Linked DNA regions of Caenorhabditis elegans. The protein of the gene in region 1 purifies or fractionates together with the protein of each later gene. This does not show direct contact. Each region holds a gene or a part of one and is shown on either strand. Other genes may lie near its edges.

The links.
Region 2: the proteins of rsp-6 (region 1) and nuo-5 fractionate together in Caenorhabditis elegans (co-fractionation; one large-scale study listed by BioGRID). This does not show direct contact.
Region 3: the proteins of rsp-6 (region 1) and gcy-27 fractionate together in Caenorhabditis elegans (co-fractionation; one large-scale study listed by BioGRID). This does not show direct contact.

The regions. Positions count from the first base shown.
Region 1 is NC_003282.8:7,789,364-7,793,117, forward strand, and holds rsp-6 (putative splicing factor, arginine/serine-rich 6), read right to left. Parts: upstream 1,867-3,754; 5' UTR 1,866-1,866; coding exon 1,812-1,865; intron 1,759-1,811; coding exon 1,628-1,758; intron 1,582-1,627; coding exon 1,474-1,581; exon of another isoform or gene 1,035-1,473; coding exon 882-1,034; intron 835-881; coding exon 741-834; 3' UTR 484-740; downstream 1-483. Other genes in the region: imp-3 (IntraMembrane Protease (IMPAS) family), read right to left, coding at 1-126; C33H5.13 (CYSTM domain-containing protein), read right to left, coding at 2,451-2,571, 2,628-2,746, 2,791-2,829; Nucleoside-triphosphatase ntp-1, read right to left, coding at 3,061-3,321, 3,370-3,754. UniProt on the Caenorhabditis elegans protein: Plays a functionally redundant role in shifting germ cell sexual differentiation in hermaprodites. Required for the development of somatic gonad structures and for progression from larval stage to adulthood.
Region 2 is NC_003283.11:2,696,906-2,700,659, reverse strand, and holds the start of nuo-5 (NADH-ubiquinone oxidoreductase 75 kDa subunit, mitochondrial), read right to left. Parts: upstream 1,689-3,754; 5' UTR 1,683-1,688; coding exon 1,590-1,682; intron 386-1,589; coding exon 1-385. Other genes in the region: Y45G12B.2 (Zinc finger protein-like 1 homolog), read right to left, coding at 2,080-2,202, 3,207-3,510.
Region 3 is NC_003282.8:17,434,595-17,438,348, forward strand, and holds the start of gcy-27 (Receptor-type guanylate cyclase gcy-27), read right to left. Parts: upstream 2,038-3,754; coding exon 1,964-2,037; intron 1,626-1,963; coding exon 1,544-1,625; intron 1,501-1,543; coding exon 1,213-1,500; intron 1,165-1,212; coding exon 1,093-1,164; intron 998-1,092; coding exon 823-997; intron 464-822; coding exon 272-463; intron 55-271; coding exon 1-54. Other genes in the region: C06A12.8 (RxLR effector protein), read left to right, coding at 2,865-2,936, 2,982-3,114, 3,290-3,345, 3,391-3,561. UniProt on the Caenorhabditis elegans protein: Guanylate cyclase involved in the production of the second messenger cGMP. May be involved in sensitivity to quinine by regulating egl-4 activity through the production of cGMP.

The DNA.
Region 1 (3,754 bases):
CCTTCGACAGGAGTGATAAAGTACAATCCATGAAAGAATTAAAATGCTCGCCGATGCGGCAATCTTTGCCACGTCGTCTCGCATTTTTGGTGGCGAATCCTGAGCTTTTTTTGAATCAGTACACATACTTTTTCTTTCTGGGAATAGCACGTGCTAACTGTGAGACGATACGAAAACAAAAATGGCAAGAGACGAAGAGAAATCAAGTAGAACCGTACTATATAAAGACCTGTTTATCCTTTGCCATACGAAACAAAAAAGAAACGTGCGTTGCTGCCGGTGGGACGACACATAAAGAGAAATAAAGAATGTGTGGGAAAATCAATCTTCTACTGCTGGCCGGTGACCAACATTTTTAAAGAGCACCACAAACACGTGCTGCTCTCTAGTTCTCCAAGCAGTTGTTTACACATTCGAAAACGCTCTCACAGAGCAAAAAGTCGCACAAAATAAGGTCTCCCTGGATTTCCCCGTTCACAAATTACCGAAATATTACTTTTATTTTCCGACAACAGTTTATAAAATGGATGAAAGTTCACGATTTTAGGTTACAAAAAGAGGAACAAAATAAAAAAAGACAGAACAGTGAAAGGTAATAATGGTAAAATTCGGTTAAACAACAAAGAAATTAAATTTAGTGAAAACTTTTTTAAATCATTGATTCGAGATTCTTCGGAGGAATTAGGGTTGCAAATTGATGTTGTGGAGAAGATACTGTATGGTCTTGGATCTTCCACAATTTAGTGCGGAGAAGCAGAACGGCTGCGAGAACGGCTTCGAGAGCGGGAGCGACTCTTCGAGTGAGAACGATCACGTTCTTGAGGAGATCGAGATCTGAAATTTCTCATTTAAATTTAAATAACTATATCCAAAACTCTTACCTTGAACGAGTACGTTCTCTTTCGCGACTGCGTTCACGACTGCGATCTCTGCTTCGGTCACGACTGCGATCACGGCTTCTGTCGCGGCTGCGATCACGTCCACGATCACGAGAGCGTGAACGGGAACGTCCACGGTCTCCTCGGTATGGCGATCTGAAATAAACAATGTTAAAACATTCCGAATATTGCATATTTGTCGAATACATCTTTCCTGCAGATGGCAGCATAAAGAAAGGTAGATGTAACTTTCTTACTGAATGGGAAGATTCAGCCGACGAAGGCATGATGAGACGATTTTGTCAGAAGCTCGATTCAGGAACTACTGCGGAGAATTAACTGATGAAAAGAGTCAAAAACAATTCTGGTGCGATGATTTTGGGAGAAGTAAAGGGCGCGTAGCGATGTGGAAGAGAAGAATGTGTCGTGAAGACAGAAGACGGAGAGGAGTGGAAGATAGTGATGTTTGGGATGGCAGATGGGGACGCGGACGAGCGGAGTCCGCTAAAATTAAAAATTTGGTCCACGGTTTTACCGAATAAAATTTTTAATACAGCTCTCTTTTCCTTTAACTATCAAATTATTTTCAACTAACCTGTCTCTTCCGCCACCACCTCGGCCGCCGAAACCTCCACCACGACCGCCACCGCCACGTCTTTGTCCAGTTGAAAGTTCAACACGAGCACGGACACCACAGATTCTTCTATAATTTTGAAGCATTAAACGAATATCCAAAGCAAACAACTTACGATCCGTCAAGAGCGCGGACAGCATCTTCAGCGTCACGAACGTCGTCGTATTCCACGAACGCAAATCCAGGAGGGCGACGAGCTACCCAAACCTTACGGATCCTTCCAAATCGATCAAAAATCTCTTCGAGCTGAAAAATGTATATTTACATAATTACTGTTAATGGCTCAAGATTGAACTCACTTCTTGTGATGTTGCATCACTCGGCAGACCGCCGACGTACACCTTGGCGTCCATACTGAAAAATCAAATTAATTTATGAAGTTGCAAAAGAACGAAGTTTGAATATTCAAAAAATAATTATTGAGAAACAAAAATAAGTGTGAAACGGAGATAGCTCGAGAGCAACGCGCGCGAAATGATTTCAATAAACGCGACGCAGCTGCTCGCGATGCGTGTAGTACGGTAACACTTGTTTCAGCTGTGCAGATTTCCTAATGTCGGGGTGAGATAACGGCGCGAATTCGAACGAAAATTTCAGTTGCAATTAATCTTTTTGATAAATGCATTTTATAAATAAGCCGAATTTGTTGCACTGTATAACGGATACATGTATTAATACAGAAATTGTGCAATAAAAAGTAAACTCGAATGCATCACATTTACACTTAATTTTTTAAAGCATGCCTTGTTGCATGTTTCCACTAAAATATGTTTTATAAAAAAACCGAAATGATAACTATCTTCTGAAAATATACATACAAATGTGAAAGTAGAATTGTGCTGAATTTATTTCTAAGTAGAAATAGCAAAACCAGTCAAAGTTTCAATTGATTTTTATATATCAATTGCAAATTTATGAACCAGATTATCAAATTAAAATTATTTGCTCAAACACAAAAAACATAGACAAGCCATTAAACCAGCTAAGCAACACATTTCGCCTCCTCCTCCCCCGTGCTCCCGTTCACGATGATGATGATGGTGATGGCAGTCGTCAACTCTGAAAGAAATAAGTCAATATTATTAATTTTTCGCGAAATATCGAATAGAACTCACATGACAGTTTGAGGCTGTTGATAATATACTGCATATGCTGGTTGAACGCCTTGTCCGATGGGAACACCGGGTTGTACTGTGTAGACACCTTGTGGAGGTTGTGGATATGCGTTATAAGCCTTGAATCATTTTCGGTTTAGTTTTTTTCAAAGATCGAACTCACTTGATTGTAAGGTGGCGGTGGTGGTGGTGCGCCGCTCATTGTCAAATACTGAAAATATAGTGATAAGAGAATGACGATTCAAAGACGACGAGTTTATAAAATACTCCTTTTCCTTATTTGCCTTTCGCTGATTCATCTAGAAGTGAAGTGACGAAACTTAGTTATCATTTTAATCGGGTTGAATATAAAGTAAAAGACCAGTCACACCTTTTTATTGCATTTGACATGAAAATAATGATAAATTATAATTGTTATAAGTTAAATCATGCTCTACACATTTAGAAAATCCGGTTTAGAATCGGTTCGCAGAAAATTATATTTTTTGTACGTAGATTCAGATTGAAGTTGGCGATATAAAGCAACTGCCAGTACAATGATAAGAATGACAAAAAATGAGAAGAAATTTGATATTTGTTGGGTAGATTGCGCAACTTCAAGTTGTTCTAGTAGGTTGAATTTGAGATCCTTTGAGTGATAAAGCATTGCTCCTAGAGCCCATTGCATTTCTTCACCGGCTATTTTCAGAACACTCTGAAAATATTTATCTTGAATGTAAGATGTGTCTTTAAAAATTCATACCTGAAACAAATGCTTGGTTTTATCCACATTAAAACCGTCATGAAGTACACTGGTCACCCAAGCAGCTTTGAAACAGTTTGTTCCAAGTCGTTCAATGTCAGCGTTGGGAAATTCATTTCTTTTGAATCCATCTTGAATATCATTCCAATCTTTTTGGCAGTATTTTCGAACTTCGTCCGTAAATTTTTGATAATGATATTCGCCACCAGATCCGAAATTGCTTGTCGTATACCAGTATTCTGAGAAGCCATACAATTGAACAGTTGATAGGTTAACTGATGGAGCAATCACGTTACGTAGGAAACATGTTGGGTTTGGACAAGAAGGTTGAGCTTTATCACCGATTAAAGATGATACTTGTGCAAGACAAACGTCCCATTCTCCG
Region 2 (3,754 bases), on another chromosome or scaffold:
TTCCATCGAATCTCGACTGAAGCCGCCCACGATCGGATCCGAAATTCATCGCCTGATCCTGTAGATCACATTCGCCACCTTGATCACAAATCGGGCAGTCGAGTGGATGGTTGTTGAGCATGAACTCCATCACCCCTTCGCGAGCTTTTTTCACGAAATCCGAGTTGGTTTTGACTTTCATTCCGTTCATGACAGGCATCGCACATGATGCGACAGGCTTCACCGACTTCTCCACCTCTACCAGACACATTCGGCAGTTTCCGGCAATTGAGAGACGGTCGTGATAGCAGAAGCGTGGGATGTCGACGCCGACGAGCGCGCACGCTTGGAGAATCGTCATTCCCGGGTCGACGAGCACTTTTTTGTCGTCGATGAAGACTTCGACCTGGAAGAAAATGAGGTGATTTTTAGTGGTTTTTTTGTTGATTTTTACAGGGAAAATCGAAAAATTTCGATTTTTTTTATTTGAAAATCGAAAAAAAATTTTTTTTTTAAGTTTTTTGTTTTCGGAAAATGGAAGAAATTTGTTTCGTTTTTTTTTTTTTTTAATTGAAAAAAATGTTGGGTTTTTAGGTTCCGGAAAATCGAAAAATATATATTTACGATATATTTTTAAAAATTGAAAAAAAAACGAATTTTCGATTTTTTACAGGAAAAATCATCGAAAAAATTCTGATTTTTTGAACTGAAAGCTAAATTTTTAGATTTTTTACAGGAAAATTAGATTTTTTAAAATTGAAAAACGTAATTTTTCGATTTTTTTTTAATTGAAAAACGTGCTTTTTTCATTTTATGTTTTTTTTGTTGATAAATTTAAAAACGAAATGTTTCGATCATTTTAATTGAAAAAAAAAATTAGATTTTTTACAGGAAAAATCGAATAATTTTTATTTTTTTGTAAAAAAAATTGTCAGAGAAAATCGAGCATTTAAAAAAAAATTCGATGTTTACAGGAAAAATCGAAAAAATTCCGATTTTTGAACCGAAAAACTAAATTTTTGATTTTTTTACAGGAAATAACGATTTTTTTTTCAATTGAAAAACGAAGAAATTTAGATTTTTGTTTAAATTAAATAACGTACTTTTTCGATTTGTTCTTTTTTCGGAAATTAAAAAAACTAAATTTTCCGTTTTTTAAAGGAAAAATCTAAAAATTTTTGATTTTTCGAACCGAAAAACGGAATTTTTCGATTTTTTTAATTGAAAAACGAAAACATTTTTGATTTTAGTAAAACATCATTGCACCATGTATTTTGTAAAATTTTCAATTAATAATTAGTGCCAAAATATAGAAAATCACTCGATTCATCGAGAAAATCACATTAATTTCGGATGAAACAGTTGAGAAAAAGCTCAAAACTGTCTTTTTGAGCGCTTTCTCCAACATTTCAGCTAAAATCAAAGTGATTTTCCGATAAATCGAGCGATTTTCTATATTCTGGCACTAATTTTAAATGGAAAATGATGGAAAATTGGAGATTGTAGATGAAATTAAGCTTTTTTTTTGAATTTCTCGCTAGTTAATTCGTTATTTTTTTGCCAAATCCATTTTTCTTCAATTTTTCCGCCGAAAATTCCAGTTTTTTCACCTTTTTCGGTGGAGCCGGAGCCGCCACCGAAAGCGATCTCTTCTGTTGAGCCTTCGACACTCCGCGGACAATTTGTCCACCGACGCGATGCATGGTGCTCTGAAATTGCAATTACTTCCTGAAATTTTTTCCGAAAAATTGAGAGAAAATAAATATAAATCTCGGTAGAAAATTAACCGAATTTCAATTTTTAGAGGAAAAAAAATCAATAAATACCATTTAAACCACCGAATATACAAGAAATAGGGCAAAAAAAAAGAATAAATAATTAATAATTAATTACAACCAAGTTTTAGCTAGTTTTAGCTAGTTTTTAGCGAAAAAAATCGAAAAAAATCAGAAAAAATCCCGTTTGTTAGCATCATTAGCAGGCGAAAGTAAAAATAAAAAATTTTTCGAAAAACTTTTTTTTTCGTTGGGGAATGAGTAGACATTGAATATTACACAGAAAGGGAAGGATATGCACATTTTTTTCAAAAAAAAAAATTTTTTAGACGTGTGGAAGACGAGAATCTTCGACGGCGACGCGAATATTCGGATTGGCCATTGGATCGAAAAGGGGGTCCGATGAGTGCTCGCCGCTGTATCCGGCACGCTTCATCACCATTATAATCTGGAAAAATACAATTTATTTGGAATTAAATGAAGTTAGAATCTAAATTTGCTTGATAAGACTCATAAACACTCAAAATTTGCTTAAAAAGCCATAAAATTCGCTCAAAAATACTCAAAATTCACTCAAAAAAAGTCAAACTTTGATCAAAAAGCCTTAACATTTCCTTCAAAAATACTCAAAAATTGCTCTAAAATACTCAAAAAATTGCTCAAAAAGACAATAAATTTGCTCAAAAAGCCTTAAAATTTGATCAAAATGACTCAAAATTTGCGAAATTTGATTAAAAACACTCAAAATTTGCTCAAAAAGCTCAAAATTCGCTTAAAAATACTCAAAATCGCTCAATTTTAGCTAAAATACACCAATTTCGCCGACTTTTCCGTGTCGCAGCGGTCGGAAATTGACTTATATTTTATTTTCATGAAATTTCATCGTTTATTTTATATTTTTATTGTTTATTACACATTTTTTCGCTATTTAATGTACATTTTAAGCCACACGGCAGACGTTGAGCGCAAAAAATTGTGGGCGGGGTCTGGACCGCAATTCTGCGGCGCGCGATTTCGCAACTCCGCCGCGCTGTTTTTTTGTCAGTCGAAATTTTTTTTTCATGAGATTTTATCGAAATATCTCGAAAAAATCACGATATACTGGAAATTTTATTCGAAAAATGCGAAAAAAAACTTAAAAACTTGTAAAAAATAGTCGCGCGGTGGAGTTGCGAAACATCGCGCCGCAGGATTGCGGTTTAGGCTCCGCCCTCACGTCGTTTTCGGTTTATATGCTTCAAATGTACACTAAATAACGAAAAAAACGTGAGAAAAACGATAAAAATTGAAAATAAACTGTGATAAAATCAAATAAAAGCGAATTTCCGACAGATGCAACACGGAAAAGTCGGCGAAATTGATGTATTTTAGCTAAAATTAGGCCATTTTTTCAGGGAAAAAATATTTTTTTGGCGTTTTTGAGTCTATAAAAGTCGCTTTTTAAAATCCAACCGTAATCAAAGCCAAAACGGCCAGGAAAATCACGAAAAGCGCGATTTTTTTCGCGGAAGCCCGTTCCTGTGGGACCCCGGAGCCGCCATGTTTTGCTCTCCAGAGCCCGCGCATCCAATCCATCGTCGGGCGCCGTTTATATTTATTCTCCTCGTTATCGGCGTCACGGAGCTGTAAAAGTGGACGAGTATCGCTTGAAGATTCGGCTCCGTAGTTCTTTTTTCGCGCAAAAGTGACGTCATTGTTGGAGACCGAGTAGGAAGCGGTGTCTTCCATTTCCAGATGGGTTGCGGGGGTGGAGGATCTGGAAAAAAATTAGAAATTTTGGGAAATTGCAAAAAAAAATGGGCCTTTCTTCAGACTTAGGTTTCTTTTTTTCGTTTTTTTTTCAAATTTTAACTTTAAAATTGGATTTTCTAACACTTTTTCACATAGAAAACGGCTTTTTACGTCGTAAATTGGCCTAAAATGCATTTTTATGTAGTTTAAACGATAAAAAATGAGAAAAAACGTGAGAAAATCGATTTTTAAGTTAAAATTTCGAAAAA
Region 3 (3,754 bases), 9.6 Mb from region 1:
CATTGTTTGAAATGAATGGCATGAGATTGTGATCAAGAATTTCCATCATGAGACCTTAAGATAAATTTCCCTGATGCTTTTCTAGACCAAGCATAAAGGTGACAAAGCTCTTTGAGTTAGGCATATTAGCAAGGAGGTTATATTGCGGCAAGTCAAAGAACATCCTAGTTTGTCATATTTAACGGTCCTCATTTGAGTTTCATTTGATTTGGTCTTCATTTGTTTGCGAGTCGACTCATTTTGACCCATTGCAACTTCTCAACTAACTTACCAGAACCCGGTCGCTCAACTGAGTGAATCAGTCGATATGGATCTTCACGTTCGATCATCATATAAAAAATCATTCCAACGCAATAAATATCGCCTTGTTTACTGCCTCTTACAAATCTGGTTGGCAGTTTTCCAGTAGCATCATATTCTCGAATATGCTCCGGCGGAAAACACACATACTGCGCGTAAGATACTGAAAATAAGAAAAGAAGGCATATATTCTTGGGGTAGGTGGCAACCAAAAATTTTCGGTCATCGGCAAATTCGGAAATTGCCAAAATTGTTGTTTTTCGGAACTTTTAAACATTATTTTTCAAAAAATAAAAATATACTTTGTTTTTCAGTGTAAATGTTGTGGTTGAAGTAACGGCGTGAACAGGTAAAACAGTTTCTGATTGAAAGATACAAATTTTTCAAGAAAATTCAAGTCAAATAGGTGTAGAAATTGATAATTGTAGATTTCCGGCTATTGTCAGCTTCCAATTTTTCCCGCAATCAGCTATTTTAGAAATTGTTGTCTGGCTTTTTTGCACATTGTTTTGAATTACTCACTAGTATAGTCACTTCTATCTGGCATCGTTATATTTTCTGCGTCGAAGTTATCACACACAAAGTTTGTGACCCCATATAATGCAATTTTCAGTACCCAATTTATATCTATTAGGCAAGTGGCTGCGTGAAGATGACCGTGATACGCAACAGGAGATAGGTGAAGATATTGAAGACCCTTGAATTAACAATCGATTTGTGATTTTTATTATAGAATTATTTTTTTTAATCTTCAGTTGTTCATGGAGTCTAATGAATAACGCAAAATGTTACCTTCAAAATATCTCTCATAAATGCGGATTTGAACGTTTCATCCATACCGAAATCTCGATCCAAACAAAATTCCTTGAATTAGCCTGATTTTCTAATTACTGAGAAATGTAAGTCTTGTACCTCCAGTGTTCCTCGTTCCACTAATGCGTGTAAAATTGTCATTGTGTTGAGATCATCATTCAATTGAATACCATAGAAGTTTGCCAGATTGTCATGTTTCAGTTGCTTTAAGTTATACAAAAAGTCTAAAGAAGCATTAGTGATATCGATATGTTTAATTTGTCGAAACTGAATAAACTCTGCTCTTTGGGTGCCAATTAGAGCATATGAGCCAAATACCCTTCGTCGTGATGTTAAAGCATTTGCTTCATCTTTTGCTGTTCTATTTTCAAGTTCACGTTGCATTCTCTAAATTTAAAGACGCATTTACTGGTAATTTGAATTTTATTACCGCATCTGCATTCTTGTTAACAATAATTTTCAAAGATTCCTTTGGAACTTTCCATGTCATCTTGTACTTCCGAGTATTTTCCCTGAAATATTAAATGACTTTCAAAGGGAACAAAAACGTTTTGTTTATTAAACTCCTCAAAAATATAATTATTTTATGACTTTATCGATAAGGCAGTTCTTTTAAAATTTTAAAAAACTCGTTCGCAGTAGCGACAACTACACTTGATGGAGTATACTGACGAGAAAAATATTACAAACTTTCATTCATACTATCAAGTATAATGGACATACCTGTTAATAGAAAAACTATTCAGTTTATTACTTAAATTTTTTAAAGTTTTTTGGAACCTGCTACAGTAAGAAAATTAAAGAAACTTTTTTTTGTAACGTTTCAGAAGATCATGAAAATGAAAATTACCCTATTACAGTTTCGTAGCACCAATTATAAACACTATATGAGAAATCTCGGATGACAGTGATAAGCTTGTTCATTTGGTAGAAAATAAATAAAATGAAAGTTGTATCTCGAGAAAGACTCTGAAATGTGTGAGTTATTTTTCCATGGCAACCGATACTTGATGAGTATGTTCACAACTACTCATTAACAAGAAAAACTTGTGAGGAGGCAAAGACAAAATAAAAGTGCAACCTAACGGGCATTAAAACTTGAGGAACATTTGATGATAGTATAGAAAAAAGTGTTCTAATTGAAAACTTGTCTCATGCCAATTTTGGTTTTGGTATTGGCCTAGATTTCAAACAAACAACATTATGATTTCGCGAGTTAATTTATGAAAGTTTATCAAACATGTAACTAAAACCTATTTGTACTCGAAAAAAGTGTTTATAAAATTTTTAATATCGTTTTAGTTTTCAGGAGAAGAAAACTGTAATTCCTACAAAAAACTGTACCAGCTGAAAAGGATAATGTTTTGTTCCCCAAGATTTACTTTCAAAATTACATTTTGAAAAAAACAGACGAGCATGAGAATATAATTTGCCAAACTTTTATCTGATTTTTTCAAACACTAGTGTTTCAGCGAAAGGTATCAATGCACAAATATTATTTTTTTAAAGTTTCATAAAATTTCCAAGTTTTGCCCAGAATTATTAAAGTATTTGTTCGCATCTTTCAGTTTCTTCATATTTTTCTCTTCTTCTACGTCAATTGTCAAGAAAAAACTATTTACATCTTTAGCTGATCGCGGACAAATAAAATTATCATATCAATAAAACCTTTGAATTTTGTTTTGTTCGCCTCAATCAAAGCTGCACCTAAAACCGACAGTTTTCTGACTAAAACTTTTCATTCAACATCAATGAAGTTTGGTTGTCTATTCGGTTTTACCATCTTGTTTTTCATTGTTCTTTTCCAAAGTATCGAAAAAACTGTGAGTTTGAAAAAACGATTATTAAATTTTCCAGTTATTTTATAGACGGCTTATGTTGCAAGAAATATCACGGTAGACCGAGCAATTGACACAATGCTTATGAAAATACAGTCTGCTGTCCGGAAAAGAAATATGACAGAATTTGAAAAATACTTTTCTGCTAAATTCGATTCGGAATGTATGTGGAAGTTTGTTAAGTTGAAAAATGGCTCCTGGAAACAATGCGAAAAATACGAGCTTTGAAGCTTGTAACACGAATAAATTATTTGTTCTTTTTTTTGAGATGCGAGAAAAAAAAGAAAGCTCGGTCATCTATTATGAACAGAGGTTTAAAAATTTTTATAATTTTCCAGCTTGGTTTGACCGTTACTATTCGGAACTTTCTGAAAGACAGTTGGGCTCATTTGTGGTAGTTTGCGTCATCTCCCATGTTATTTTTGAACGCTGTTTTCAGCTTCGCCGCTTTGGACACGTAGATGCACGTGGCAAGGATTTCAAGTTCAAATTTTCGGAATCTCATGACGTTCCTGGTCATCTACTTCTCCGGTCGTTTATCGCATGGACCAAGCGATCCTTCACTAATGCATTTGCAATTCAAACAATTCGATATTATGGAGAGTATTGAAAATTTCATCAGCCAAAAAAATTTTACTGCTTCAGTTGTATTAATGAAAAAATAATTACTGAGAACAATATAATGCAAAAAAAAGCAACACATCCTTTCTTACTTGAAGAAACTTTACGAGATAAAGTCTATAATTTGAAATATAACTAGATACGGTAATGAAATCTTGGTCTAATTGAATAGACATTGATAA